Linked DNA regions of Mus musculus. The protein of the gene in region 1 interacts with the protein of each later gene in a biochemical or structural test. Links are inferred from orthologs where the notes say so. Each region holds a gene or a part of one and is shown in the gene's direction. Other genes may lie near its edges. The genes, in order: Dlg1, Iqsec2, Kcna4, Arhgef16, Evi5, Arhgef26 and Tanc1.

The links.
Region 2: the proteins of Dlg1 (region 1) and Iqsec2 interact in a test that uses a peptide from one of them, tested with the Homo sapiens proteins (2 studies listed by IntAct, with this or other methods). The link is inferred for Mus musculus from reciprocal best matches to the Homo sapiens genes DLG1 and IQSEC2.
Region 3: the proteins of Dlg1 (region 1) and Kcna4 interact in a biophysical measurement, tested with the Homo sapiens proteins (2 studies listed by IntAct, with this or other methods). The link is inferred for Mus musculus from reciprocal best matches to the Homo sapiens genes DLG1 and KCNA4.
Region 4: the proteins of Dlg1 (region 1) and Arhgef16 interact in a test that uses a peptide from one of them, tested with the Homo sapiens proteins (2 studies listed by IntAct, with this or other methods). The link is inferred for Mus musculus from reciprocal best matches to the Homo sapiens genes DLG1 and ARHGEF16.
Region 5: the proteins of Dlg1 (region 1) and Evi5 interact in a test that uses a peptide from one of them, tested with the Homo sapiens proteins (2 studies listed by IntAct, with this or other methods). The link is inferred for Mus musculus from reciprocal best matches to the Homo sapiens genes DLG1 and EVI5.
Region 6: the proteins of Dlg1 (region 1) and Arhgef26 interact in a test that uses a peptide from one of them, tested with the Homo sapiens proteins (2 studies listed by BioGRID and IntAct, with this or other methods). The link is inferred for Mus musculus from reciprocal best matches to the Homo sapiens genes DLG1 and ARHGEF26.
Region 7: the proteins of Dlg1 (region 1) and Tanc1 interact in a test that uses a peptide from one of them, tested with the Homo sapiens proteins (2 studies listed by IntAct, with this or other methods). The link is inferred for Mus musculus from reciprocal best matches to the Homo sapiens genes DLG1 and TANC1.

Annotation. Positions count from the first base shown.
Region 1 is NC_000082.6:31,662,303-31,666,242, forward strand, and holds the start of Dlg1 (disks large homolog 1), read left to right. Parts: upstream 1-1,140; 5' UTR 1,141-1,186; intron 1,187-1,632; exon of another isoform or gene 1,633-2,019; intron 2,020-2,518; 5' UTR 2,519-2,549; coding exon 2,550-2,568; intron 2,569-3,272; coding exon 3,273-3,404; intron 3,405-3,940. UniProt on the Homo sapiens protein: Essential multidomain scaffolding protein required for normal development. Recruits channels, receptors and signaling molecules to discrete plasma membrane domains in polarized cells.
Region 2 is NC_000086.7:152,220,768-152,224,267, forward strand, and holds part of Iqsec2 (IQ motif and SEC7 domain-containing protein 2), read left to right. Parts: intron 1-879; coding exon 880-1,053; intron 1,054-1,515; coding exon 1,516-1,565; intron 1,566-2,154; coding exon 2,155-3,120; 3' UTR 3,121-3,500. UniProt on the Homo sapiens protein: Is a guanine nucleotide exchange factor for the ARF GTP-binding proteins.
Region 3 is NC_000068.7:107,293,589-107,296,296, forward strand, and holds part of Kcna4 (potassium voltage-gated channel subfamily A member 4), read left to right. Parts: intron 1-555; 5' UTR 556-1,334; coding exon 1,335-2,708. UniProt on the Homo sapiens protein: Voltage-gated potassium channel that mediates transmembrane potassium transport in excitable membranes. Forms tetrameric potassium-selective channels through which potassium ions pass in accordance with their electrochemical gradient.
Region 4 is NC_000070.6:154,289,896-154,293,395, reverse strand, and holds part of Arhgef16 (rho guanine nucleotide exchange factor 16), read left to right. Parts: intron 1-453; exon of another isoform or gene 454-564; intron 565-1,842; coding exon of another isoform or gene 1,843-1,860; coding exon 1,861-2,460; intron 2,461-3,500. UniProt on the Homo sapiens protein: Guanyl-nucleotide exchange factor of the RHOG GTPase stimulating the exchange of RHOG-associated GDP for GTP. May play a role in chemotactic cell migration by mediating the activation of RAC1 by EPHA2.
Region 5 is NC_000071.6:107,820,549-107,824,048, reverse strand, and holds part of Evi5 (ecotropic viral integration site 5 protein), read left to right. Parts: intron 1-2,154; coding exon 2,155-2,344; intron 2,345-3,392; coding exon 3,393-3,500. UniProt on the Homo sapiens protein: Functions as a regulator of cell cycle progression by stabilizing the FBXO5 protein and promoting cyclin-A accumulation during interphase. May play a role in cytokinesis.
Region 6 is NC_000069.6:62,425,777-62,429,276, forward strand, and holds part of Arhgef26 (rho guanine nucleotide exchange factor 26), read left to right. Parts: intron 1-812; coding exon 813-887; intron 888-3,104; coding exon 3,105-3,194; intron 3,195-3,500. UniProt on the Homo sapiens protein: Activates RhoG GTPase by promoting the exchange of GDP by GTP. Required for the formation of membrane ruffles during macropinocytosis. Required for the formation of cup-like structures during trans-endothelial migration of leukocytes.
Region 7 is NC_000068.7:59,610,609-59,614,841, forward strand, and holds the start of Tanc1 (protein TANC1), read left to right. Parts: upstream 1-1,433; 5' UTR 1,434-1,588; intron 1,589-2,099; exon of another isoform or gene 2,100-2,758; intron 2,759-4,233. UniProt on the Homo sapiens protein: May be a scaffold component in the postsynaptic density.

The DNA of each region.
Region 1 (3,940 bases):
ATTGTCAAGGACACAGAAAAGGCCTGTCAGGTTTATTGAAAAACCAAAAAACCCCTCATCTTTCTCCCCCTTTAATTAAAACACAAGTACCGGTAGATTGATTTTAAATGTGTCTGTGCATGGAGGTTAAAGGACAAACAGGAGGCTCTCTCCTTCCACCATGTGGGACCCAGGGATGGAATTCAGGTTATCAGGCTCATAGGCAAGAACCTTAACCAAGCGAATCATCTTCAAGCTGGATCCAAGCAGATCCAGCCTTACGGTTTGACACACATGGATCTCTGCATTTCTGGTTCTGCTTCAAGAACTTCTGACGACTTTGGAAAAATTCTCCTGGGCTATGGAGCAGAGAAGTTCCTGCTGCTCAAAAGCAGCTCGAGTCAGTGACTTGGAGAACTTTCCCCTTCAGGCTCAGTTCTAGAGCAAGTGTCCCTTGGGACTGTTTGTTGGGCTGTGAGGTGCTTGAAATTTAAACTAGGTGTGAGGGCTGGCAGCGAGAGGCTTGCTTTCTTTGTTTTCCACCTGAGACAGGGTTTCTTCTCTGTGTAGTCCTAGCTGTTCTGGAACTCACTGTTCTGGATGGCCTCGAACTCACAAAGATTAGCCTTACTTAGCCTTTCTGGGATTAAAGTCCTGTGCCACCACCGCTGGGGTAGACAGGTGAGTTTCTTAAAGGGACCGCCATAAGATGGGTAACTCCTGGGAGCATCTCTGGGCGGGGACACATTCATGAACGCACAAATGAATGCAGGCATGAATGAATGAAATATTAACGACTGAACTTTTCACTTGTTTAAACGGCTCGTACTAGGAGTTAACCACTTAGACCTAAAAATCCTCTGAAACCCTCAAACGTTTAGCAAACTAATCCGTCTCCGCTTTACATCCGGTCCTTAATGAAACTCCTCAAACCTTTTTTTTTTTTTTTTTTTTTGTTTTTCTGGACAAACGAATAATTTAAAAACCAGCAAAAAGTGGAAGACATACAATACCCCTTCCCCTCCTAAGTCCCTTCTTCCTCCGCCCCTTAACGCGGGTGACTGGTGCGCAGCTCCGCACAAATTCCTTTTTCCCTGTTGGGGATCCACCCCGGGCGTGCCAGGCACTCTTCCTTTCTTGAAGTTGGCCAGCACGTGTTCAGTGAGGTGAGGGGTGTCTTGAGCTTGTTTCTTGGGATCTAGCGCAGGTGAGGTCACTTCTCTCTTTCAAAGTCTCCAGCAACTCGAGTCCGGCGCGCTAGTTCAGAACCGCAGGCCACCGGAGGTGGGCTAGGGCAACGTGCAGGCTTGCTGTCCCAAAGCCACTTCGGGCCACCTGTAGAGCGCGTGTCAACTCCTTTGTCCCCAGAGCCGCTTCCACCGGAGCTCCTCTCCGCAAGGCGCTTCCCTGTGGATGCTTAAGGGTCCTCCTTCCAGTACTCCAGCCCCCTCCCCGCCCTCCTCCCGGCCCTCCTCCCTTCTCCAACCCCGGTAGCAGCGCCCGGAGCCCGGGGCTCGGAGCGAGCCGCCTCCTCACTTCTCATTGGCTGAGAGCGTCGGGGAAAGCAGTCACGTGGGCGCGCGGCAGGCCAGCTCCAGGGCCGCCATCTTGGCGGAAAGTTTAGGGGGAGAGCGACTGGGGGCGCGGAAGGAGGCGAGGTTCCGGGGGTGGGGCGGCCCGGAGGCGAGCGGACGAGCAGGGGCCGCGGGCCGCGGCGAGCGGGCGAGCGGCGGCGGCCGAGGCGGAGAGAGCGGCGCGGGGGTGCGGCCGCCGAAGGGGGAGCTCCTCCCCCGTCCCCTCACCCCCTCAGCTGAGCTCGGGGCGGGGCGGGGTACGTGGAGCGGGGCCGGGCGGGGAAGCTGCTCCGAGTCCGGCCGGAGCGCACCCGGGGCGCCCGCGTACGCCGCTCGCGGGAACTTTGCGGCGGAGCCGCAGGTGTGGAGGCCGCGGAGGGGGGTGCATGAGCGGCGCGGAGAGCGGCGGCTGTCCGGTCCGGCCCCTGCTGGAGTCGCCGCCGGGAGGAGACGAACGAGGAACCAGGCAAGCGAGAGGAGGGGGCCCGAGCGGGCCGGGGGAGCAGCCGGGCGCTCGGCTGGGCGCTGCGCGGCTGGGCACGGGCCGGCCCGCGGCAGCAGGTGGGGAGCGTGGCAAGCACGCCTTGGCGGCGGCGGCGGCCGCGGCGGCCGGGCTTCTCCTCTTCAGGTGCTCTTTGCGGAGGGGGGAGCTCTGGAGGCACCTACCGAAGCGGGCTTGGGTCTGATCTTAATCTGTAGGGGGCATAGCGACCCCCGAGAACTCGCTTTCCGCTTTGGCTGACACTGCTGGGGGTTTGAGGCTTCTGCTTTTTTTCCACTTGGGAAAACTTTGGAAGGTGGGCAGTTCCACCAAGGTTGGAGTTTTTCCCTAGTCGAGAGTTTGGGGCGGGGGATGGGGTCGGGTAGGGTGGGGTGAAGTGGGGTGGGGCGGGGGCAACGAATGGATCCACGATTCAGTTCATTGCATTAGTTCAAGTTTTCCTTCCTGTTTTGTGTTTGTAAAGGTGTGTGCCGCCTTCCTGATTCTGGAGAAAAATGCCGGTCCGGAAGCAAGGTGAGAATTTATTTTGGAACTGTTTTGTGGCTGTCACTTGCTGTAACATACATCAGTGTTGTGGTTACTGTTTTTAAAAGGTTTGTGTGACTTTGAGGAATCAGCAGGCTCTCGCTTTTATTCCTTATGGTATCAGAGCTTCCCATCATTTCAGAAGGTGGAAACATCTAGTTGGTTGCACACACCTTCTTGACATCTGTAGTCATTACAGAAGCAATCAACAGAAGCAATCTGCCCCCTACCATGTCTTTTTCAAAACTTCATTGCTTCAGTATTTCACTTTATCACTCATATCAACACTATTTTGTGAGCAACTCTGTGAGCAACTAGGAATTAATGTTTTGAAACACGTTTTGGTTATAGGAACAAATTGTAGATAACTTGTTCTTGTCTGTTAGGCATTCTAAAAACCAAGTTGCTATCAGTTTAGTTAGACGGTCTTTTAGTCTTGGAAGCTGTCAGTCCACAGCTAACACAGGCTACTCACTTTCTCCTTTCTCTGCTGTGATATAAAGCCTTTAAAATATTTGTCTTAGTAGGGAATGGAATATGGATATAGTGATGGCAGCCCTTGCCTTGGAGGCTCAGGGGAACTTATAGATGTCTTGTAGAGGTAGCGTGTAGCACTCTCATGTAAATATGTATGCAGATACACACAGAGCCTTAATATATACATGAAATTTTCACCGTATTTGTCTTTTCAGATACCCAGAGAGCATTGCATCTGTTGGAAGAATATCGATCGAAACTAAGCCAAACTGAAGACAGACAACTCAGAAGTTCCATAGAGCGGGTTATTAACATATTTCAGAGCAACCTCTTTCAGGCTTTAATAGGTGGGAGTTAAAACTTTTCTACTCTTGACCACTGTACTAGTGCCTGATGCTTCTCTGTTATGTTAAACTTAGAATTTGAAAGACAATGTGTTTGGCTCTCTAGATGGTCCTTAACTTAGGACATCTCTAGTGATTTTTTATTTTGCAGTTAGGCCACTGTCACTTCTAAAAATGTTTAATTATCAGAAAAACTTCTGGTCTGGTGATTTCTGTGCACTTTGAGAGCACAGTTTCATGTCTTAGAGTTAACAGCTGGAATATGGACAAGTTGTAGAAATGTTTTAGGACACCAGTCGTGACAACTGAACTACTGTTGGTGTTTTTGTAGTTGGCGTGTGTTTCTCTGGAATCCTTGGAAATATTTGAAAGGCTCTGCTGCTGTGCTTGAGAGCATTTGCCTCTCTGACACACACACACACACACACACACACACACACACACCCTCTGTTAGAGTTGCCATTTGTGGAATATGAATTTTAGACCTGAAACATGATCTCAGAGATGATGCTGTCTAATTACCTTATTCTAGTATTCCT
Region 2 (3,500 bases), on another chromosome or scaffold:
TTCTCTTTCTCTTGTCTTTTCTTCTCTAAGCTAAGCAGTCCTAGTTAAGTAACATGGCATCAAGGAGAAAGAAGGCAGAGAGAAAGAGAAGCAGTAGTTAGTTCCTTGATAGGTCTTCAGCAAAACAGAGTATCAGTTCAGTGGATTCCAGAGCTTCCAGGGGAAGTGTAAGAGGTTAGCCATATCAAGAGAACAAGAGGCCCAATAGATCAGTTTCCCTGACCTTACTGGGGATATAGGGGAGCCAGGAGAGTAGGATAGACCTGCTTCCAGAATGTTGACTTCACAAATTTCAACTCTCTGACCCTGAGCAAACTGTGACTTCTCAGATTCTCAGTTTCCTCTGCACAATGTAGATGATGGTCAGAATGTGGAATGAGAGGGATCAAGTATACACTGTCCCTAGCATACTGCCCAGCATATACTAGAGGGTTTGCTTCCAATCAATTTCATGCCCTTGCTCTTTCAAGAACTCCTCTGAGAACTGAGCGAACTTTAAAAGGACTGTCCTTCGCCATAGGCTAGAAGGGCCTTCCCATCCTTACTGTGAGCCAAGTGTTGCAAAACAACACAAAAGGGTAAAAAAATGAAGGATAAGATGGAAAGGGAGCAGGGAAAGTAGGCACTTACACTTACAGGGAGGGGGAAAAAAGAAGGAGCAGGAAGGAGCAGGTGGCATAGGATGGGGTAGGCACCTAAGGAGTTTTGAAGATAGAGTAGCAGTTTAGGGGAAACAATTACTACTAGGGTGTGGGAGTGGACAGGAAGGAGGGGAACCAGAAGGAGGGAGGAAAAAAAAGAGGAAGGCTGTAGTCAACCAGGTGGGTTCTTTCTTAATGCTCTTCTTGACCTTTGCCCGTTTTCTTCACTGCTATCCAGCGGAGCTGGAAAAGCAGAAAGGTATGATGCGGCCTAATGCCTCACAGCCTGGAGGAGCCAAGGACTCAGTGAATGGGACTCTGGCCCGCAGTAGTCTGGAGGACACTTATGGGGCAGGCGATGGGCTCAAGCGGGGTGCACTCAGTAGTTCCCTGCGAGACCTCTCTGATGCAGGTAAGTGTTCTGGGCCCCTGTTTTGGCTGGGGAGATGTGGGACCAGGTGTCCTCTTTGCCTCCTGTCACTGGCTGTCAGCCTTCCCCCAAAACACACACACAAACACACACACACTCACCATTCAGAGCCCTGGGCACTATGCCACAGGGGGCCTGGTAGCCAGGTCAGAACAGGTGGGGCCCAGGGTTTCTGCCAGGGAGTATAAAGTGGGGCCATAGACTCAGCCCCTCTCCTCTTCCCTCTTCTGTCTCTCCTTTACTGCCTCTCCTCCATCTTTTCCTCCTTTCTTTCCTCCTTCTCAACCTCTCTTCCTCCCTACCTCCCCCTCTTCAATGGGGGAAGGGGGCAATGGGGTGTCTGTCCCTGGGAGGGACCTAGGCCTGGTGCCCAGCTCTGGAGCCCAGCAGGGTGGGGAGGGAGGGTTGCTGCTCTGACGCTGGGCTCCTTGCTTGTGGGTGCAGGGAAGCGGGGGCGGCGTAACAGCGTGGGATCGCTGGACAGCACCATCGAAGTAAGTGTCAGCTCCTGCCCCACTCATTTCTGCATGAGCCCTGCCCTGGCCATAGAGCCCCAGAGGAGGAGGGGGACCTGTTGCCTACCCCTCTTCCGTGCTGGGAACCATATGGCTGCCTCTCCCAAACAACCACTTTCTCCATCTGTCCTCAACTCTTGTCTGTCCTCACTCTGCCTGTCTCTCAGTCTGTCTTCCACTCTCCCATGCCCCTTCTCAACCCCAGGGCCAACTCCAAATAGGGAGGCCCTTGGATTTGGGCCTCAAGAAACGTTAACCTCCATATCCTGCTCTTTTGACCCTGAGCCAGTTACTTTGCCTCTCTAGGCCTCACATTTTCTTGGCCTGAGAAATGATCATGCTAAGGAAGTCCTACTGCTTTTTCCTCTGCCCTCTGAGGTTCAACTGAGCTAGTGGATGTGGCAACAGAGCTTGGGAGCAGAGCTGGCCACAGATACAGGACTGCTGTTTGGTTTCCACTGTCACTTTGGGATCCCTGTTGCTCCAGCTTCAGGGACAGGGGTGGAATTTAGGGTTGGGGGTTTAGGATATTTAGACTGGCCTGACTTCCCCCCCTCCCCCCTTTCAGGGGTCTGTTATTAGCAGTCCACGCCCTCACCAGAGGATGCCACCTCCGCCCCCACCCCCGCCGCCAGAGGAGTACAAGAGCCAGAGGCCAGTCTCCAACTCCTCATCTTTCCTGGGCTCCCTATTTGGAAGCAAGAGGGGCAAAGGGCCCTTCCAGATGCCACCACCACCAACAGGCCAGGCCTCTGCCTCGTCTTCATCTGCTTCCTCCACCCACCACCACCATCACCACCACCACCATGGTCACAGCCATGGTGGCCTGGGGGTGCTACCTGATGGGCAGTCCAAGCTCCAGGCCCTGCATGCCCAGTATTGCCAAGGACCGGGCCCTGCCCCACCACCCTACCTCCCACCCCAGCAACCCCCTCTGCCTCCACCCCCTCAGCAGCCTCCACCCCTGCCCCAGCTGGGCTCCATTCCACCACCACCTGCCTCAGCCCCACCTGTGGGGCCACATCGACACTTCCATGCCCATGGCCCAGTTCCAGGACCCCAGCATTATACCTTGGGCCGGCCAGGCAGAGCCCCAAGACGAGGGGCTGGAGGACACCCTCAGTTTGCTCCACACGGCCGCCACCCCTTGCACCAGCCCACATCCCCATTACCCCTGTACAGTCCTGCTCCACAGCACCCTCCTGCCCATAAACAGGGCCCCAAGCACTTCATCTTCAGTCACCACCCACAGATGATGCCAGCAGCAGGTGCAGCTGGGGGCCCTGGGTCCCGGCCACCAGGGGGATCCTATTCCCACCCTCACCACCCCCAATCACCACTGTCACCACACTCACCCATCCCACCTCATCCCTCCTACCCTCCCCTGCCCCCACCCTCACCTCACACCCCACATTCACCCCTACCACCCACCTCCCCCCATGGCCCACTGCACGCCTCTGGGCCCCCTGGCACGGCTAATCCACCCAGTGCAAACCCCAAGGCCAAGCCAAGCCGGATCAGCACTGTGGTCTGAGGAACGGGATGAGTGTACTGGGGAGCAGGATAGTCTGGAGAAATCCACAGGAGAGGGACCTTGCCCCTCTCTTCTTCCTCGGTTTTTTCAAAATATATATACACACTCAGCAGTGTCTTTCTTTCCACTTCCTCTGTATCTCCAGACCCTTCTTCCAACCCCCAGCAGTTGTCATGGGGTTTCCTTTCAGATTGGAGGGCCCTTGCCACTTGCAGCCTGAACGTAGGGCACTGCAGTGCTGGGAAGTGGTAAGAGCCTCTCAGTAGGCCTCGTCCTCCTGTTCCTGTCTTCCTCTCCTCTTTCTTGTCCCTGGAGGTCTAGTTGGTGACCTCAGACCTCTAGGCAAATGTGAGCTTCCTTGCAAGCTGGTGGAGAAGGCA
Region 3 (2,708 bases), on another chromosome or scaffold:
TTGTCTACATTTTATGATTAGGAAATTGATGATCATTCAAGTAGTGGAGTCTAAACTGAAGAAAAATGTTTTATTTCCCCACTTCTTTAATCCCAAGAAAAAGAAAAATGTAAGGGTACTTAATTCAGCAACATTCCATGAGTGAAAATTTTAAGGAGAATTCCTTGAGATAAATGAATACTGGAAACAGCTGTAAAGTCAGAGCATCACTGTTGTGGAATGAAGAGGATACTATTGAGAATTAAACCTGGCATTGGTGAAGGGGCAGAGGAAAGCAAGAACCGTGTGGGTTGAGAATGGACAGGACCTAAACAAATGAGTTGCCACCAAACAGACTGATCTGAACCAATGACAAAAGAAGAGAGCAAGGTGGATGCTGAGTGGGAGAGATTTTAGAGCAGCCTGCCCCGTATTCTTGAAAAGTTATGGTCTCCTGGTGTGTGTTTCATGATTTGCCTGAGGACAAGAGCAGTGTATGTGGAGTAAAGGGCTGTTTGCTCTCTATGGTTTGATTCTTTTTTTTTTCCCCTGTGCTTATTTCCCATCCCTCTTCAGGTGAAGTGCTTCTTGTGAATGATTCTAGCCAAAGGATGCTCTTCATTTCCTGCTTTCTATGGAGACCTCAGTGTTGAGTTTGCCTCTGCTGGAACTGCGTCTACCACCTTCTCTACCTTCCAAGGTCTTTGCCTCTATCTACAACCTGGCATTGTCTGTGGGTCCATGAAGGCTTGGATGACCTTAGAGGGAAGGTCTGGGAGTCCACCCTCATAGACTAAGCAGCAATGGCTGGGCATATTTTAAGCCGCATTTTAACATGGGTCAAGCCATCAGTAGAAGGCAAGTGCTAAGACTAAAGACTTATTTGAATTTTATTTAAATTAGATGGACTGGGCCTTGGCCAATTTCCATGCAAGAAAAAGTATATTTCATTTTCTAGGCACAACTTCTGAGTGTCAGATACTTGCTGTCTTTGAGTCTTGTGGCGTCATCACCGGACAGCATCCCAGACAGACTTCCAGATTTGAACATCTACCCCCCAACACGTAGGTGTATGGGAGACCACATCATTTCATGACTTATGTTTGAGGAACACTAGGCTGTTGTCTAGACGAGGCAAGCTCTGGAAAGCAACGCCGAGTCTCTGAGAAGAGGGAGCATAGGCTGTGCTGATTTAAAAACAGAAAATGCAAAGTTGGACTGAAAATATCCCACGTCTTCTAAGCAATCTGCTTAAGGCTTCCAAACTTACCTTAATTTGGTAAGAAAATAAGCTGCCCTATTTTTCTTTCTTCTTCTCTTACAACTGGAAGCAGCCATTTCCCCAAACCACCACCATGGAAGTGGCGATGGTGAGTGCCGAGAGCTCAGGGTGCAACAGCCATATGCCTTATGGTTATGCAGCCCAGGCCAGGGCCCGAGAGCGGGAGAGACTCGCTCACTCCAGGGCAGCTGCAGCTGCTGCTGTCGCAGCTGCCACGGCTGCTGTCGAAGGCACTGGGGGTTCTGGTGGAGGCCCCCACCACCATCATCAGACACGTGGGGCCTACTCCTCCCATGATCCTCAAGGTAGCCGTGGAAGTAGAAGGAGGAGGCGTCAGCGAACTGAGAAGAAGAAACTCCACCACAGGCAGAGCAGTTTTCCTCATTGCTCAGACCTGATGCCCAGTGGCTCTGAAGAGAAGATCCTGAGGGAGCTAAGCGAGGAAGAGGAAGACGAGGAGGAGGAAGAGGAGGAGGAGGAGGAGGGAAGGTTTTACTATAGTGAAGAAGACCATGGGGATGGGTGTTCGTACACAGACCTGCTGCCACAGGATGATGGGGGTGGTGGCGGCTACAGTTCAGTCCGCTATAGTGACTGCTGTGAACGTGTGGTGATAAATGTGTCTGGTCTACGCTTCGAAACCCAAATGAAAACTTTGGCCCAGTTTCCAGAAACTCTGTTGGGAGACCCTGAGAAGAGGACTCAGTACTTCGACCCTTTGCGCAATGAGTATTTTTTTGATCGGAACCGACCCAGCTTTGATGCCATTTTGTATTATTACCAGTCAGGAGGCCGCCTGAAGAGACCAGTCAATGTCCCCTTTGATATCTTCACCGAGGAGGTGAAGTTCTATCAGTTGGGAGAGGAAGCCCTGCTCAAGTTCCGGGAGGATGAGGGCTTTGTGAGAGAAGAGGAGGACAGGGCTCTGCCAGAAAATGAATTTAAAAAACAGATTTGGCTTCTCTTTGAATATCCAGAGAGTTCTAGCCCTGCCAGGGGTATAGCCATTGTGTCTGTCCTGGTCATCTTAATCTCTATTGTCATATTTTGCCTGGAAACCTTGCCGGAGTTCAGGGATGATAGGGACCTTATTATGGCCCTCAGTGCAGGCGGGCACAGCAGATTGCTGAATGACACCTCGGCACCCCACCTGGAGAACTCAGGGCACACAATATTCAATGACCCTTTCTTCATCGTGGAGACAGTGTGTATTGTGTGGTTTTCCTTTGAGTTTGTGGTTCGATGCTTTGCTTGTCCCAGCCAAGCACTCTTCTTCAAAAACATCATGAACATCATTGATATCGTCTCCATTTTGCCTTACTTCATCACTCTGGGCACTGACCTGGCCCAACAGCAGGGGGGTGGCAATGGCCAGCAGCAGCAGGCCATGTCCTTTGCCATCCTTAGGATCATTCGTCTGGTCCGAGTATTCCGGATCTTCAAGCTC
Region 4 (3,500 bases), on another chromosome or scaffold:
GTCTCACTGTGTATGTGACCCAGGCTGGCCTCGAACTCAAGAGCCTCCTGCCCCAGCCTGTTCGGTGCTGAGGTTTTATGGGGTGTCTCTAGGGTCCTCTTAGGCTCAAGTCATTTCAACCTATACAGAGTTCTGAGCATATAAAAGGCTTCCTCTATGCTGGCTCCTTTGTTATTAGAAAAAAATAAAGGGAATTTTTTTTCAAGAGGCAGTTTCCCCCTGGAAACTTTACATTAGGGTCCTATAGAGTTCCTTGACTCTTGCTGGCCTGTCTTAAGTGCAGCGTCAGATGCCAGAGATGCCAGGAATTCTGTTTGGTTCAGAAAAGCCTTGGCTGCTGCTTTACAGCCCTTCCAGCCAGTCAGGGATGTTTGACTGGACTCTGCAGGTCATTTAGGAACCTGTTAGATATCCTCAGGTGAGGGCCTTGTTCTTACTGAGCCCATTTTGCAGATTTGAAGACTGAAACTGAGTGGTGGCATCTTTTAATCATTAAGGACCCCAGGTTTCCAGGCCCCCAACAGGGCAACTCCTGACAAGTGTGGAGGACCCCCAGTCACGGAGGTAAGTGGACAGCTGACCCTAAGCAGATTGGTCAGTCTTGCTGACTGGTCCCCACACAATGTTTCTTCCACACCAGCCTTTACGCTGGCTCTTGCTGTATCTAGACCATAGCTCTGTTCATTTCAGTCTCTCAGGCCTGCAGGATTCCCTGCCCGGGAGGGTCACCCCTTCCTCTTAGTTAGCCAAAGCTCAGCCTTAGACTGTGTGGTACCAAGGGAACAGAAAATGCTAATGCTGTAGGAGGAGATAGAACATTCTGGAAACCACCACTCAAGGCTGCCTGCTGTTGACAGGCTATGACTCAATGATTAAAGATGCCACCACTCAAATTCAGTCTTCAAATCTGCAAAATGGGCTCAGTAAGAACAATGCCCTCACCTGAGGATATCCTAACAGGTTCCTAATGGGCCACGGTGGCAGACAGGGGTGGGGGAGACAATGCTAAGGGTAAAGGAGTCAGAGACGGGCCTCAGGCACATGCGCTGCTCTGCTGGGATGCACGGGTGGAGTGGCTGAGGAATCGCATGTTGGCGGTGGCTTTCGGTCGCCAGGCTATGACTCAGGCTGATTGAAGATCCTGCCACTGCCTCCCTCACCTGCACTGTGACCCAGGGTTCACCTTGGGACTCCCAAGATGGGGATTATGAACCCCCAACTTCTGAAAGTACAAATGTGTGTTGGAGAGTGCTGTGAGGAGAGTCTTCTTAGCCAGCCTTGGAAACTCTGCCTGGCCAGGAGAGGGGAGGCAGCCGGCTCCACTCAGATCCTGGCTCTGCTGCTTCTGTGGTGGACGCCACTGAGCAGGAGGGCCATGGTCAGGTGGAAAGTGTCCTCTCTTTCTGCCTCCATCCTGCTTGCTCTTCCTCATGATCTCAGGGTCAGATGGCCCCTTAACAAGAAGGCAGAGCCAGGCAGGGCCATGGTCTCATCCACAGCATTTGCTGCAGTCTCAAGAAACCATCATTAACTCCAGGAAAACCATACACAAAATACCCATACATCAATAAGGGGCCTAGCCAGGATTCTGGTCCTGGTCTCTGTTGCTTCTGGGCCCAGCCACGGATCTTCCCTTAGTTGCTAAGTCCTGCCCAGGACTTAGCAGTTGTGTCAGAGAAATCAGGGTGGTCCCCCAGGCTCATTCCAGCCACTCTCTGCTCCCACCAAGTCTTTGATCTCAGAGAAGAGCAGTTATACAAGGATCAGGGTTGGGCCCAGGGAGGCTGTATGCAGATATCCCCCTTCTCCCCAGCCTTTCACCTCTTGCTTGCCTCTCTCTAGGCCTCCTCTGTCACCAGCATGTCCCAGAGACATTCTGACAGCTCTCTGGATGAGAAACTACTGGAGTATCGCTTCCACGCAGAGCTGCGCCTCGATGCCAACGGGAACCCTATCCCTGGACTCCCCATGGTCCGGAGCTCCTTGAAAGCCAGAGCCAATGCTGCCTTTGAGCCAGATGCCTCAGAACCCCTGCCGCCACCTCCGTCACCAGAAGACGAAGAGCCTCCTCGGCCCATCGTCCTTAGCACGCAAAGCCCCGCGGCCCTCAAGATGGGCACGCAGCAGCTCATCCCCAAAAGTCTGGCTGTGGCCAGCAAGGCCAAGACCAAGTCCCCAGCCCGCCACCAGAGCTTTGGGGCGGCTGTGCTCAGCAAGGAGGCTGCCAGGCGGAATCCTCAGCTCTTCTCAGCCCCCAGCTTCTCGTTGGATGACATGGATATGGACATGGTTACTACCGGGAACCTGAGGCGCAACCTGAGGAACCAGTCCTACAGGGCAGCCATGAAGGGGCCGGGGCCACCCAGTAGCAAGGGGGACTCAGTCCAGCTTGGCCCCAAGCTCCAGGCTCTCGCTGAGGAGGCTGCTCAGCCTCCCTCCCGGTATCCAGCCAAAAATAAGGTAGGGACCTGCCCCGACAGCAGGGTGGGCAGTGTGTCTAGGAGCTCTGGGGTTCACAGGCAGGGAGCCAGCTTGGTCCTGCGTCTTTCACATTTGGCATCATGAATGGCCGCTATTACTGAGCCTTGCCGGGTGCAGGCTCCTGACCATCTTGGTTTAACCGAATCCATTTGAATCTCATTGCTGTGGCTGGAGGAGGTTGACTCAGGCTCTTGGGAGTCCTCCATCCCTGCTTCCATCCAGAGTGGACAGCAGAAGGAACCAACCCAAGCATGGAGCCAGCCTGTCTGATGACACTTTCAGCAGGGCCAGGCTCAGGCTGCCAGTGGGATAAGGAGGGTCAGTGGGTAGCCCTCACCACCTGTCCCCCAGCCCTGCCCCGGGTGAGCAGAGCTCATTCCTGAGCTATGGTGTAGACCCAGCTGTTCAGAACAGAATGGGGTCCTGGCTCTCTGGGTCTCCAGGTATCTGCTACAGATAGCCACTGGGCAGGAAGACCATGATCAGATAGTAGTAGCCTTTCCTTCCCCCATCCGTTCTGCTTATCAGGTCAGATGGGAGAACCTCTGTTTAACAGCCATTCAAGGCAGTTGATTCCCAGGATAGGGAGCTAGGAGGTCTCTGGGCCTAAGGTGCTTCCCTCAGACTCAGGGGCATCCCAGTCACAGGGTTCAGTCAGCTTCCATGAAGGGCCTAAGATGGGCCTTTGTGGCTTTTTTTTTTTTTTTTTTTTTTTTTTTTTTTATGAGACAGGGTTTCTCTGTATAGCCCTGGCTGTCCTGGAACTCACTCTGTAGACCAGGCTGGCCTCGATCTCAGAAATCCACCTGCCTCTGCCTCCCGAGTGCTGGGATTAAAGGCATGCGCCACCACGCCCGGCCCTTTGTGGCTTTTTGACCCCTAACAAATTACCTAATACTTCTGAGCCTCAGTTTCCCCATATATATAAGTGAAGGCTGCCATCCAGCTGTAGCGTACTCCAAAGATGAGTACATGCCCTCTGTCGCCTAGGGCTGCACTCAGCATCATGGGAAGAGCAT
Region 5 (3,500 bases), on another chromosome or scaffold:
GAAGTTCAGCAACAGTCCCTAGGGCGTGGGCTGGGGGGTGGGGGCGGCCTTTGGGGCTGGGCCTGGGGAGAAGAGGGACCTGCAAGCTTAATGCTGGAGGATAGGAAGTAGAGTGAAAATTGCATACTTGTCCAGGTTTGCAGTGTCCACTGGACGCACTCAAGGTAGTATTGTTGGTTGACCCAAAGGAATGGGTATTGACTAGGAGGCAGGATTTAGTGGCCCCCAGAAAGGGGGAAAGCTGGGTCTGCTGTAGTGTTTGGCATCCCCAGGGAATGGAGGTGGACTACAGGTTCATTTCATAATCTGACACCAGTTTCTGAAAGCCATGTTAGCTCCATGCTGGCTAGCTTGGGTGAGTGGAGACTTTAGAGTTAGTGTGGTTTAAATTGTGCTTCTGTGTTGTCTGAAGACATTGGACCGTCTTTATGTGATTATTGCCTACTTCGTTAACATTTCAAATGTTATCCCCTTTCCTCATTTCCCCTCTGAAAACCCCCCTATTCCACCCCCAGTCCCCACTCCCTACTCCCTAACCCACCCACTCCTGCTTCCCTGTCCTGGCATTCCCCTACACTGGGTTATCGATCTTTCACAGGACCAAGGGCCTCTCTTCTTATTGATGTGGCTGGAGCCATGAGTCCCTCCATGTTTACTCTTTGGTTGGTGGTTTATTCCCTAGGAGCTCTGGGTGTATTGGTTAGTTCATATTGTTGTTCCTCCTATGGGGCTGTAAACCTCCTTTCAGCTGCGTAGGAGATTTTTTTTATGTAAGTACACTGTAGCTGTCTTCAGACACACCAGAAGAGGGCGGCAGACCTCATTATGGGTGGTTGTGAGCCACCATGTGGTTGCTGGGATTTGAACTCAGACCTTCGGTAGAGCAGTCGGCGCTCTTAACCACTGAGCCATCTCACCAGCCCACGTAGATTTCTATACTTATTGCTACTGACTAGGAATTTGAGCCTGGTTTTGCCAGATCTTTATGTATAATGTATAGTTATACACACACGCACACACACACACACACACACGTTGTTTAGATATATAGGCTATACATGTGTGTGGAAAAGGAAAAAAGAGAAGGGATTTGGTTAATCATTACTTTTTAGATCTAGTACATAGTAAATATGGGATTTATGGATTACTGTGTATGTTAAGTATATATTAATATTGTTTCCCCCATGGAGCCACTCCCACCCTGACCTCCCTAACTTGAATGTAAAACATCTAAAAATTACACCTACTTATTTATTTATTTTTTTGGGGGCAGGTGTGGAGGTCAGAGGACAACTTGTGGGAGTTGCTTCTCTCCTCCTACCGTGTGAACCCCAGGGATTGCACTCTGGTTATCAGCAAGGGCCTTTACCTGTTGAGTCATTTTATTGATCCTTGAATTGTTTTTGAAATTGTTCAGGTTGGTTTTAAAACTCTTGGGATTAAGTGAATAAGTGAATTTCCTAATAGGTGAGTCTGTGCTGAGATTCTAAGACTATTGGTGTGCACCACTGTGCTGGGCTCCCTTCCTTGTTGTAGCTCTCTTGTGTGTGGTGTTGTGGCACACATGTGGAGGTCAGGGAGAAAGATCCCAGGGGAGTCAGTTCTCTTCTTCTGTTATGTGGGCACTGGGGACTGAGCTGAGGTTGTCAGATTTGGCAGCAAGCACTTTACCTTTTGAGCCTTCTCATTGACCTCTTTGTGGCAATGAATATGAATTATAATGGGGCTAATTGTATTAAATGCTTAAAATACATCTTACTGGCTCAGGTTTTGTTTTTTTGTTTGTTTGTTTGGTTTTTTCAAGACAGGGTTTCCTGGCTGTTCTGGAATGGTTCAGTTTTTTAACTGCTATGCATAGTGAAAAAGTGCAAGAGTTGCTGATTTCAACCAAACAAAAATTGTTAAAACTGTAACTTAGAGCTGGCATGATGGTGCTTACTTTTAAGCTATTCTGGAGGCAGAGGCATGTGGATCTTTGTGAGTTTGAGGCCAGCCTGGTCTACAGAGTGAGTTCCAGGACAGCCAGGGCTACAACTAGAATCCCTGTCTCAGCAACAACAAAAGCTAATAATTGTCGTGAAGTTTTTAAATGCTGTCCTTACTTTATCTAGTATCATGTGAGATGGTATCTTAAACACCTTTAATTCTGTTTAGATTAATAGAGACAGACAGTAAGTCTTTAAGATCAGTGAATGGGTCAAGAAGAAACAGTGGTTCCTCTCTTGTATCAAGTTCATCAGCCTCCAGCAACCTCAGCCACCTGGAGGAAGACTCTTGGATTCTCTGGGGAAGAATTGTGAATGAATGGGATGATGTACGCAAGAAGAAAGAAAAGCAAGTGAAGGTATTTACATTGTTTACGGAAGTTCTTTCTCTTATCCCAGAGGGTAAGAGGCATTAGGAGAAATGGAAGGATTCTCCTAGTAACCTGTGTGCTGTGTAAGGAACAGGTTGCCTTTATATGTCTTCATTGTCCATGCTTGATAGAAAGAAGTCTAGGTTGTAGAGATTCACAGTTGAAAAAAAATATTTTTAGAAGTTAAATTCTCCCATTTTGTAAATTCAGAAATGAAATGGAGACATACTGTGTTAGCATTTTGCCTTTTTCCTTCAGCAGCCCTTTATTTTTTATTTTTTTTCTTTTCTTTTTTTTTTTTTCCATTTTTTATTAGGTATTTCGCTCATTTACATTTGCAATGCTATACCAAAAGTCCCCCATAGCCGCCCACCCCCTCTCCCCTACCCACCCACTCCCCTTTTATGGCCCTGGCGTTCCCCTGTACTGGGGCATATAAAGTTTGCGTGTCCAATGGGCCTCTCTTTCCAGTGATGGCCGACTAGGCCATCTTTTGATGCATATGCAGCTAGAGTCAAGAGCTCCGGGGTACTGGTTAGTTCATAATGTTGTTCCACCTATAGGGTTGCAGATCCCTTTAGCTTCTTTGGTACTTTCTCTAGCTCCTTCATTGGGGGCCATGTGATCCATCCAATAGCCGACTGTGAGCATCCACTTCTATGTTTGCTAGGCCCAGGCATACTCTGACAAGAGACAGCTATATCAGGGTCCTTTCAGCATAATCTTGCTAGTGTATTCAGCAGCCCTTTAAATGTGATGGTGCAGTAGTGTGATGTGTGTAGCTCTGGACTGTCAGGGCCGTCACGCCTTGAAAGGCTATGTTTTCAGAGAGACAACAATTTATCATGGCTTTGTAGTCCCTGATCAGAACTTACCCAAGGTCAAGTTGTAACCCTTTTTAAAAATTTTCATTGTTACTAAAATTTTTTTTAAATTATAAAATTCATAAAGTTTTCCATTTCAATATTCCCCCCCTAAAACTCTTGGATCACAAGGTATGAGACATTTAAAAGTTTTGTTTTCTTTTTGTTTTTAGGAGCTTGTTCGTAAAGGGATACCCCATCACTTCAGAGCAATAGTGTGGCAACTTTTATGTAATGCACAGAGTATGACAATTAAGGACCAGTATTCAGAACTCCTGAAA
Region 6 (3,500 bases), on another chromosome or scaffold:
CAGTCAAAACTTTTGTATTTTTAAAGATTTAGGATCATATTTTCATATTTTAGACATTCATATTTCAGCTTACCTTTAATGGATCTTCAGAGTAACTTCTCCTTTGTTGGGAGCTGACAGTATGTTTGGCATTTAGATAAGATGCACAGATCTCTTACCATTTAACTCTTGGAACAGGGCTGGGAGGTGGCTCTGAAGAGCACCTGTTCAGCAGGGGCGAGGCCAGGTTGGATCCCTGCACAGGAAACAGAATAAGATAAGCATCAGCCTCTTGCAATAGCCTGTTTTATACCTGCCATTGCCGAAGTTTGCAGAGGAGGAAAGTGATGTTTATCTACAACCAACCACATGCCCATGGGTAAATCCCTAGCATAAGGCAGGTCTGAGATTTGTCAGCCTACCTACTGACCTCTGAGTCTTCCTCGGTATTTAGGCTCTATTTATTTAAAGAATACTTCCTAGTTTTTTTTAATTTTTGTCTTGTTTTGTTTTGTTCTTGTTGTTTTGGTTTTATTTTTTTGAGACAGGGTTTCTCTGTATAGCCCTTGCTGTCCTGGAACTCACTTTGTAGACCAGGCTGGCCTCGAACTCAGAAATCTGCCTGCCTCTGCCTCCCGAGTGCTGGGATTAAAGGCATGCACCACCACGCCCGGCTTACTTTGAGGTTTTGTTAGTTACACTTTAATATCCTCATCCCTCATATTGTGTTCAGAAACAGTCCTTTGCATGAGTAAGAGGAAATAGCTAAATAGTAGTTTATTTTGCTACCTATGTTAAGTCAATTGGCTTTGTTTCTTTTTACTTCATCCTAGACTATCTGTCAAAAAACACCCAAGGACTCTCCAAAGTATGAAGTCTGCAAAAGGGCCTTGAAGGAAGTGAGCAAGGTAACTGTTCACCATGATATCAATAAACCATGTAGAAATTTTGGAAGAGTCTTGCAGGTCTGTGCTTGCTATATAAGACTGAGATTCACGAAGCCAAATTCAAGTAAGTTTGGATGTTGACTGTTTCAGATAGGATTTGTTTTATGTACCCGTTCATATCTCCTTTTGTCTGCTGTGTTAATAGATATTTGTTGGTTCTCTCCTCCCAACAAATATTTATTGAGTATCAACTACTGTAGCAGGACTAATGCTGCCCTCTGAATGTTGCTGATAAGCAGATGTGGCTATTGCATTTACGGCATGTGCAGAATGAAGAGAAAGACATACAGTAAATAGAATTACTGTAAAGGGTGATGACTGATGGGGTGGGGTAGGGCACAGAGTGATATTTTTACTGAGATCTACAGCAAGAATAGTTGTCAGCCAGGCATGGAAAGAGTGTTTGGGTTGTGTAGAGACCCAAATAAAAGTGTTGGAGGATTTGAAGAATTCATTGGGAGGCGGGAAGGGGGAGGGTGAGAGGGAAGGAGGGAGGAGTCTGTTACATATGTTAGGGAGTTGGAAGCCATGGTCTCAGATGATGATAAAATGATGGAGATATAAATTCAAATAAGATGAGAAGAAGCTGTGTGTGTGCATGTGTAGATAAATATGTATAGTAGGTTTGGAAATGGTGAAGACAGGAGTCAAAGAAATATAATCCCTGATTGGACAACTGAATCATTTGTTTTTTAACTTCATACTGTGGAAAGATGAATTACATTTGGATATATAATAATGCAGATCTTATAAAACATGAATTTTGCATGAGAATTTAGAGGAGAGCCAAACGTTGGAGACCTGGATCTGGGAATCGTCAGCAGAGGGGATATTTGAGTTTGGAGTATAAAGGGATCTACCTGGTATGAGGATGCAGAATGGGGAGCATAGAAGCCCGTAGTAAAATCCCAGAGAACACTAGTACTTTTTTAGTCTCATTTAGAGGAATGTAATCAGTATAAGAGATGTAAAAACGAATAAGGCATGTTAGAGGAAGGGAAAACAGGATAGCCTAGAAAATGGCTAAGCAATTAGCTCATGGATGCTCTTGAGAAAGGAAGAGAGGCGAATGATTTAGCCGTCTGTAGAGTTCATCCTAAAGTAGATGAAACAGAAACCACATTGAAAGATGCTGAGCAGTGAGCAGGGTGTGCCAACCATAGAGCCAGCTGCTCGGTGGCTGGCTCCTCCAGGGACCAGGCCTACAAAGAGAAAGAGATGTGGCTGAAAGGGAAGGGATATTTATTTAAAGATAGAAGTCTGTATGTTTAGTTACTGTTAGGTGGTGTGGCTGAGAGAGCAGAGGAAAGTATGGTCATCCCTGCAGGTGACATATGAGCAAGGCACAGGGGAGTGGAGACGGAACATGCCAGAAACTTCCTGGATATCTCCTGTTGTTTGCTTGCTTCCTGCATGAATGGAAGAAGATATTCCTTCCACTTTACTGTAAAGTACTATTTCTTTGTATCAGCTTTAAACAGACTCATTATTTTACTCTTCTTTAAAAGCCAGGTTGCAAAGTTTAGGATTAGTCCAGTGGCCCAAATATTTACTAAGTATCAAAGGCTCATTGACCATTTATTTGCAGATCATTCAGTATTTTTAATTGAGCAGAGCTTCTCTTAGTTGGGTATTGTTGAAGAATTATCAGACTTTCCCTTTCCAGAATCTTTTTGTGGTCCCATGATTGACATGTAACACTGCTTAGATTTTGCCTATAAAGTTGGTAGTCTGCCTCCTGCTGCTCTGGTCTGGAAGAGTGTAGGAGCTGTAGCCTGCCCTGAGGTAGAGTTGGGTTCTCATAGGTAAGGACGAAGCTAGACAGAAGACAGGATCAGAGTAGTTAGAGACCTAACATGTGTGATGAAACCTCGTGTGGAGGGTGCGGAGCCACAGAGGAAACACATCTCTGAAAATCTTCTGAGTCCTTTACCCCATCCCCAACCACACTTTTCTCTCTTGGTCACATGCTTCCTATCTGGGCACAGTGTCCCTCCTGGGTGGAACTGTGAGTTCTCTAACTATCAGAAACGGGTCCCTGGAATTTCTGGAAAGTAGATCATTTTCTGGGAAAGTTGAAAGTGTGGTTTCTTGTGGGAGAAGGGGCCAAAATAAAATAAAATAAAATATTGAGGCTGCCCTTCAGATTTCTTACCTCTCCTTATGCTGTGTTCCCAGTTGGTCCGACTGTGCAATGAAGGAGCACGGAAGATGGAGCGGACAGAGATGATGTACACGATTAATTCCCAGCTGGAATTTAAAATCAAGGTAGCCTTCTATCTGTGTTTACTGTATTGCTGCTGCTTGAATCTTATCTAAACAGAGGAAGTTGAGGCTAACAAGGTAAATTGGAACTAGCTTTTCAAAGAAGGACTATAAATTGAGAAGAAAAGCTGACAGAGGGCTCCCCAGATGCCTAAGGGTGTCTCCAGGCTTCTCTCCAGGCCATGAAGGTATGACCTTCGCCAGGAAACCATCAAGGAATTGGAGTACTTGCAGGTGATATTTGATAAAGTACTCGAAGGTGACAATCCTCAAGCACTGTTAGTAGGTCCTGACAAATAATGGGATGCC
Region 7 (4,233 bases), on another chromosome or scaffold:
CCTGGTTTTTAACAACCAGCATTGGAGGTGGAGGGGGTGTCTGTGACCTTCCTGGCTTACCAGGAGTCCTTACTTGCTTTGAATATTCATGTCATGATTTGCTTGAGTAAAGGCTGGGATATGTTCGCTGCATACTTATAAATATAGTGATAATCAGGTCTTTGACTATACGAGTGAAAAATACCCAACACATTCGAACCATCTTTTATTTATTATGGAGAGATAGATTGAGCAGCCTTTTGCTTCCTGTCACTTTTCACAGGAACTTTAAATGCAAACACCATTCTTGCAGCTATCTTTATATTGGGAAGCTCTATGTGAGGTTGAAGTTTTTATAGGGAAAGTTGTTTAAAACACAGTTGTCTTTAAAGGCAGGTTTGCCACAGCAAAGGTTAGGGGTTGGCAATAAACCCATTTATAGCAACTTCTGTATTCTTCACTCTCCTTACACGGATGGGCGGCCTGTGTGCAATTCCTGTTGGAATTTCTAGTTGATCCTTCTGCAAAGAAAGGGGGCCCAAAGGGCTTTTGGGAATAGAGAGGGCTGAGCCTTCTACATATAAATTGGCTGCCTGGATTCCTGGGAGGTTGTGGAGGACCCAGGTCTCCCAGTTCCCTAGGCCATTTTCAAACTTCTGTTCTATTGGGAATAACAAAACATTTTGGGAACTAGGGAGTTTAATTTACTGCCACCAGCCTACTTAATAATAGCATCTTTGTCTGTTCTTCCTCCAGGACTCCTCCTCCTGACAAGGAAGCTAGCCGCTGGCCAGTGTACTTAGCCCAGACAGTACTGCTAGCCACAGAGTTCGAGGAGGGAGGACTGCCCCTGACTCTGGGCAGTCACTGATCCCCGGAACAACCCCAACTTAACTTTCCAGAAAGAAAAAGGTGCAATGGGCGAGATGCACTTTCCATCTTTCTCAGCTCATTTTGGAACAAGAAAGTGTATTTGTTTGTGTTTAGTTAAGCGAGGGGAAGAAAAGCCAACAAAGCCACCCTAAGGCATCCGCGGAAACTTCAGCTTGGCTAATTGCTCCCATATGTCCTCCTCGGATGCTTTCAGAGAGCAGCGCAGACCGAAGGCCGAGCCACTTTACTGATTCTAAAACGGCTAAAAAAAGGAGGAGAGGGCTAATCACACTTCTGATCCTGTCCCACTGGGGTCCAGGCGAGGCCCCAGGGGAGCAACCTTCTCCCGGAAAGCTTAGCTTCCCGCAGAGGACATGCTGGGTGAGGAGGGGGCGAAGGCGCCGGGAGGAAAGTTGGCGTGCGGCGCCCCAGCGGGTCCCAGAGCCGGGGCAGCTCCGGTCGGGAGGGGCGCGGGAGGCACAGCCCCGGCGGGCGCGCACAGGGAAGGTGCCTTCCGGAACACGCGCAAGGGCGGGGACTCGCGCTGCCAATGAGGTCCCGGTGTGGGCCGAGCGAGGCGCGGGGACGGGCCGGAGCGCTGCCTCCGCGGTGGCAGCTGCGGGAGCCCGGCTCGGGAGCCGCAGGAGCCGCAGCCGCCAAGCGCCCAGCCCTCTGCGCCCTGAGGCTCGGCCCCCGGGGTGGGAACCGCGCCGAAAGCTGGAAACTTTCCTGGCAGGTAACTCTCGCTGCCGGGGCGCCGCTGCCGGCCCCCGGGAGTCCGCAGCGGGCGGGGAAGGAAGGGTCCCGGAGAGCAGCCTGGGAAACGAGAGCCAGGCTGGTGGGAAAGTTTCGGGACGCCCCCTCCTCCGCCGGGCCCAGCGGGAGCTTTCCCGGAATAGGCGCAGGCACGCCGGAGCTCCCGGCCTGGGGCTAGGCGCTGCCGGGGAGTCGGTGCAGGCCGTTTCCTGCGCTCCCGGAGGAACGGGTTGCAGCAGAGCCGGGCTAGGGGGACATTGGGATCACGCGGCGCTCAGGACTTTCCCAGCCGGCCCTTGCCCGCCTCTTCGGTCCCTTGGCTAGACAGGGCCTGGGCTGCGCCGGGCACCTGGGTGGGGGGAGTAGGGGGACGTGCAGGCGGGGCGCCTGGCACCGCGGGGTCTTGAGTGTCGCCGCGCGCGGGTCGCCAAGTTCCCGGGAGAACTTCAGCGGGGGTGGGGGTGGGGTGGGGAATCGTATCGCCCACCGTGAGCTGAAAGTGTGTGATTCGCTCCTGCAGGCTGCGGCTCGCAGATGCAAGCCAATTTCTTTCCCTGGTGGTGTTGGTGATAGGGTGATGATTTGGGATTAGACCTTGAGGATTTTTTTTTTTTCTCTTCCTTTTAGTAGTGCCAGCTAAATGAAGGGTCGTGTCAAGTTTGCGAGTCCCCTTGTCCTTGGGCGACGAGTAGTTACTTTGGAGGCATTATGGGGATTCAGGTTCTTCCTGGAGGACTTTTGGGTGTGTGTGTGTGTGTGGGGGGGGGCCCTTGGGTTCGGCGCGGCCGCTTTCCGGAACGGCTGGCGGGGAAGGAAGCCCTGGGCATTGTGTAGCGTGTTTTCAGTCAGCAAGATCTCTGGACTGGAGTTCCCAAAACTTACTTGACTTATTGTGTAAAGGCTCCCGGAGGAAATGCGGCCATGGCCAGGTAGAAGAAACGCGGTGCCGCGGCCGAGGGAGGAGGACGCCGAGCTGTGACAGTCTTCTTCAGGCTGCCTCGGCTCCGGCTTGGCAGCCCCAGATTCTTGTGCCTGGAGTAGTGGGACCGGTCTGAGTAATACAGCTTCCTGCAGAGTGAACTCAGGGTGGTGAGGAGAGCACCTTCATCTTGAACTTGACCCCCGGAGTAGCGTCCTGGCGGGTTAAAAGGTAAAGGCAGGCTGAGTCTTAACCTGTAAAGGAGTTCAGACGCCGCTAGCTCCTGGTTCAAGATCTTTCAGGAAAGGACTCAGGGTGGCTGAGGTCGCGAACTCTAGAAATGCCAGACTCATCAGACTACGAAGTTAGTGTGCCTGGGGAGAGCAGGAGAAACCTGGTTGGCTGGCACAGAGGGTTAGTTTTTCTTTGTGGTGAAAAAGAAGGGAGTCTTGCGTCTCTGCTTACACCAGATCCGCTACTCCCCTCCACCCACACCCCCTTCCTGGGTCATCCTTATCCTGCCAGGCTGGCACTCCAGGGATGGGGGAGGGAGGAAGAGAAGAAGCCGTTGTGGAGCTTCTCTGGGCAGCCCGGAGGTATTTCAGATCTGCTACTGGGAAGAGTTCTGGATTTTAACAGCTGCTTTTTGATTGCTGGGAATGAAAGAATTTATGAGCGCCTGAGAGAGGTGCTCATTATGGTACTGTTCTGCGTGCTTTGCTCATCTGGGCTACTTAAAGAGCTCACAGGGACTTCCTTACAATCTGCAAAGTCTGTGTCAGCTGGAATGCTTGTGGGTGTCAATCAAAAAGCATCATAAATAGATCTTGGTGCTTTTACAATGAAAAGCATGCCAAGCCAAGGAAGTTTGGCGTGTGACTGCGTTAGAGATTCCTTCGTAGACCTTTTTTTCTTACCATCCAACTTGATGTTTCCAGGCTTCTTGACTGCTGTGATTGGACAGTGAGGGAAATAGTGTGATTGGACAGTGAGGGAAATCATTGATTTTGGTGGGGGTGGGAAAGTCCAGAAATAAATTTAAGGTCACTTCCATGTTTCTGTCTTGCAATTCTCATGCCACGAACTTAACTTTTGCTGGAACGCCAAAGTATTGATTTTCTTGCTTTTTTGGTTTAACCACCAGAATGTCTAAATTATCATAATTCATGTTCATCGTGGAGCTAAAACATAACTGATTCGTAGTCAGCCCTTTTCTGCTTCTCATAACAGCCAGAAGAACATTTTGTCTCTTTAACCACATGCAATTTATTTGATGCCATAGTCGGGTTTTGATGCCTGGTGATCGAGGGCACAGTTTTAGAGACAATGGAATTACTTTGACTAAATCATCCATTTTTAGACAACTTCTTTTCTGGGTTGCTGATTAATTCTTTATCTCCCAGAGAACATTAAAAGCCCTGTCCCTGGGCTAGTAGAGCTGTAATCCATATTATAATGAGGTTTGTCTGAATAGCTGGGAGGGAGGTAGGTCTGTTTTCACCAGGCACTTCAAACTCAATAGTAAAGATCTTATTTCTGTTACGTCAAGAATTTGCTAGTTAGAAAAATGGATTTATGCTCTTGTCCAATGTATATGAGGCCTTGTTGAGGGAAGAACAAACTTTTATTTTTATTATGGGACCTTTAGTTTTAACTTGTGGGAATAAATGTATAAATAAATTTATAGACACACACACACACACACA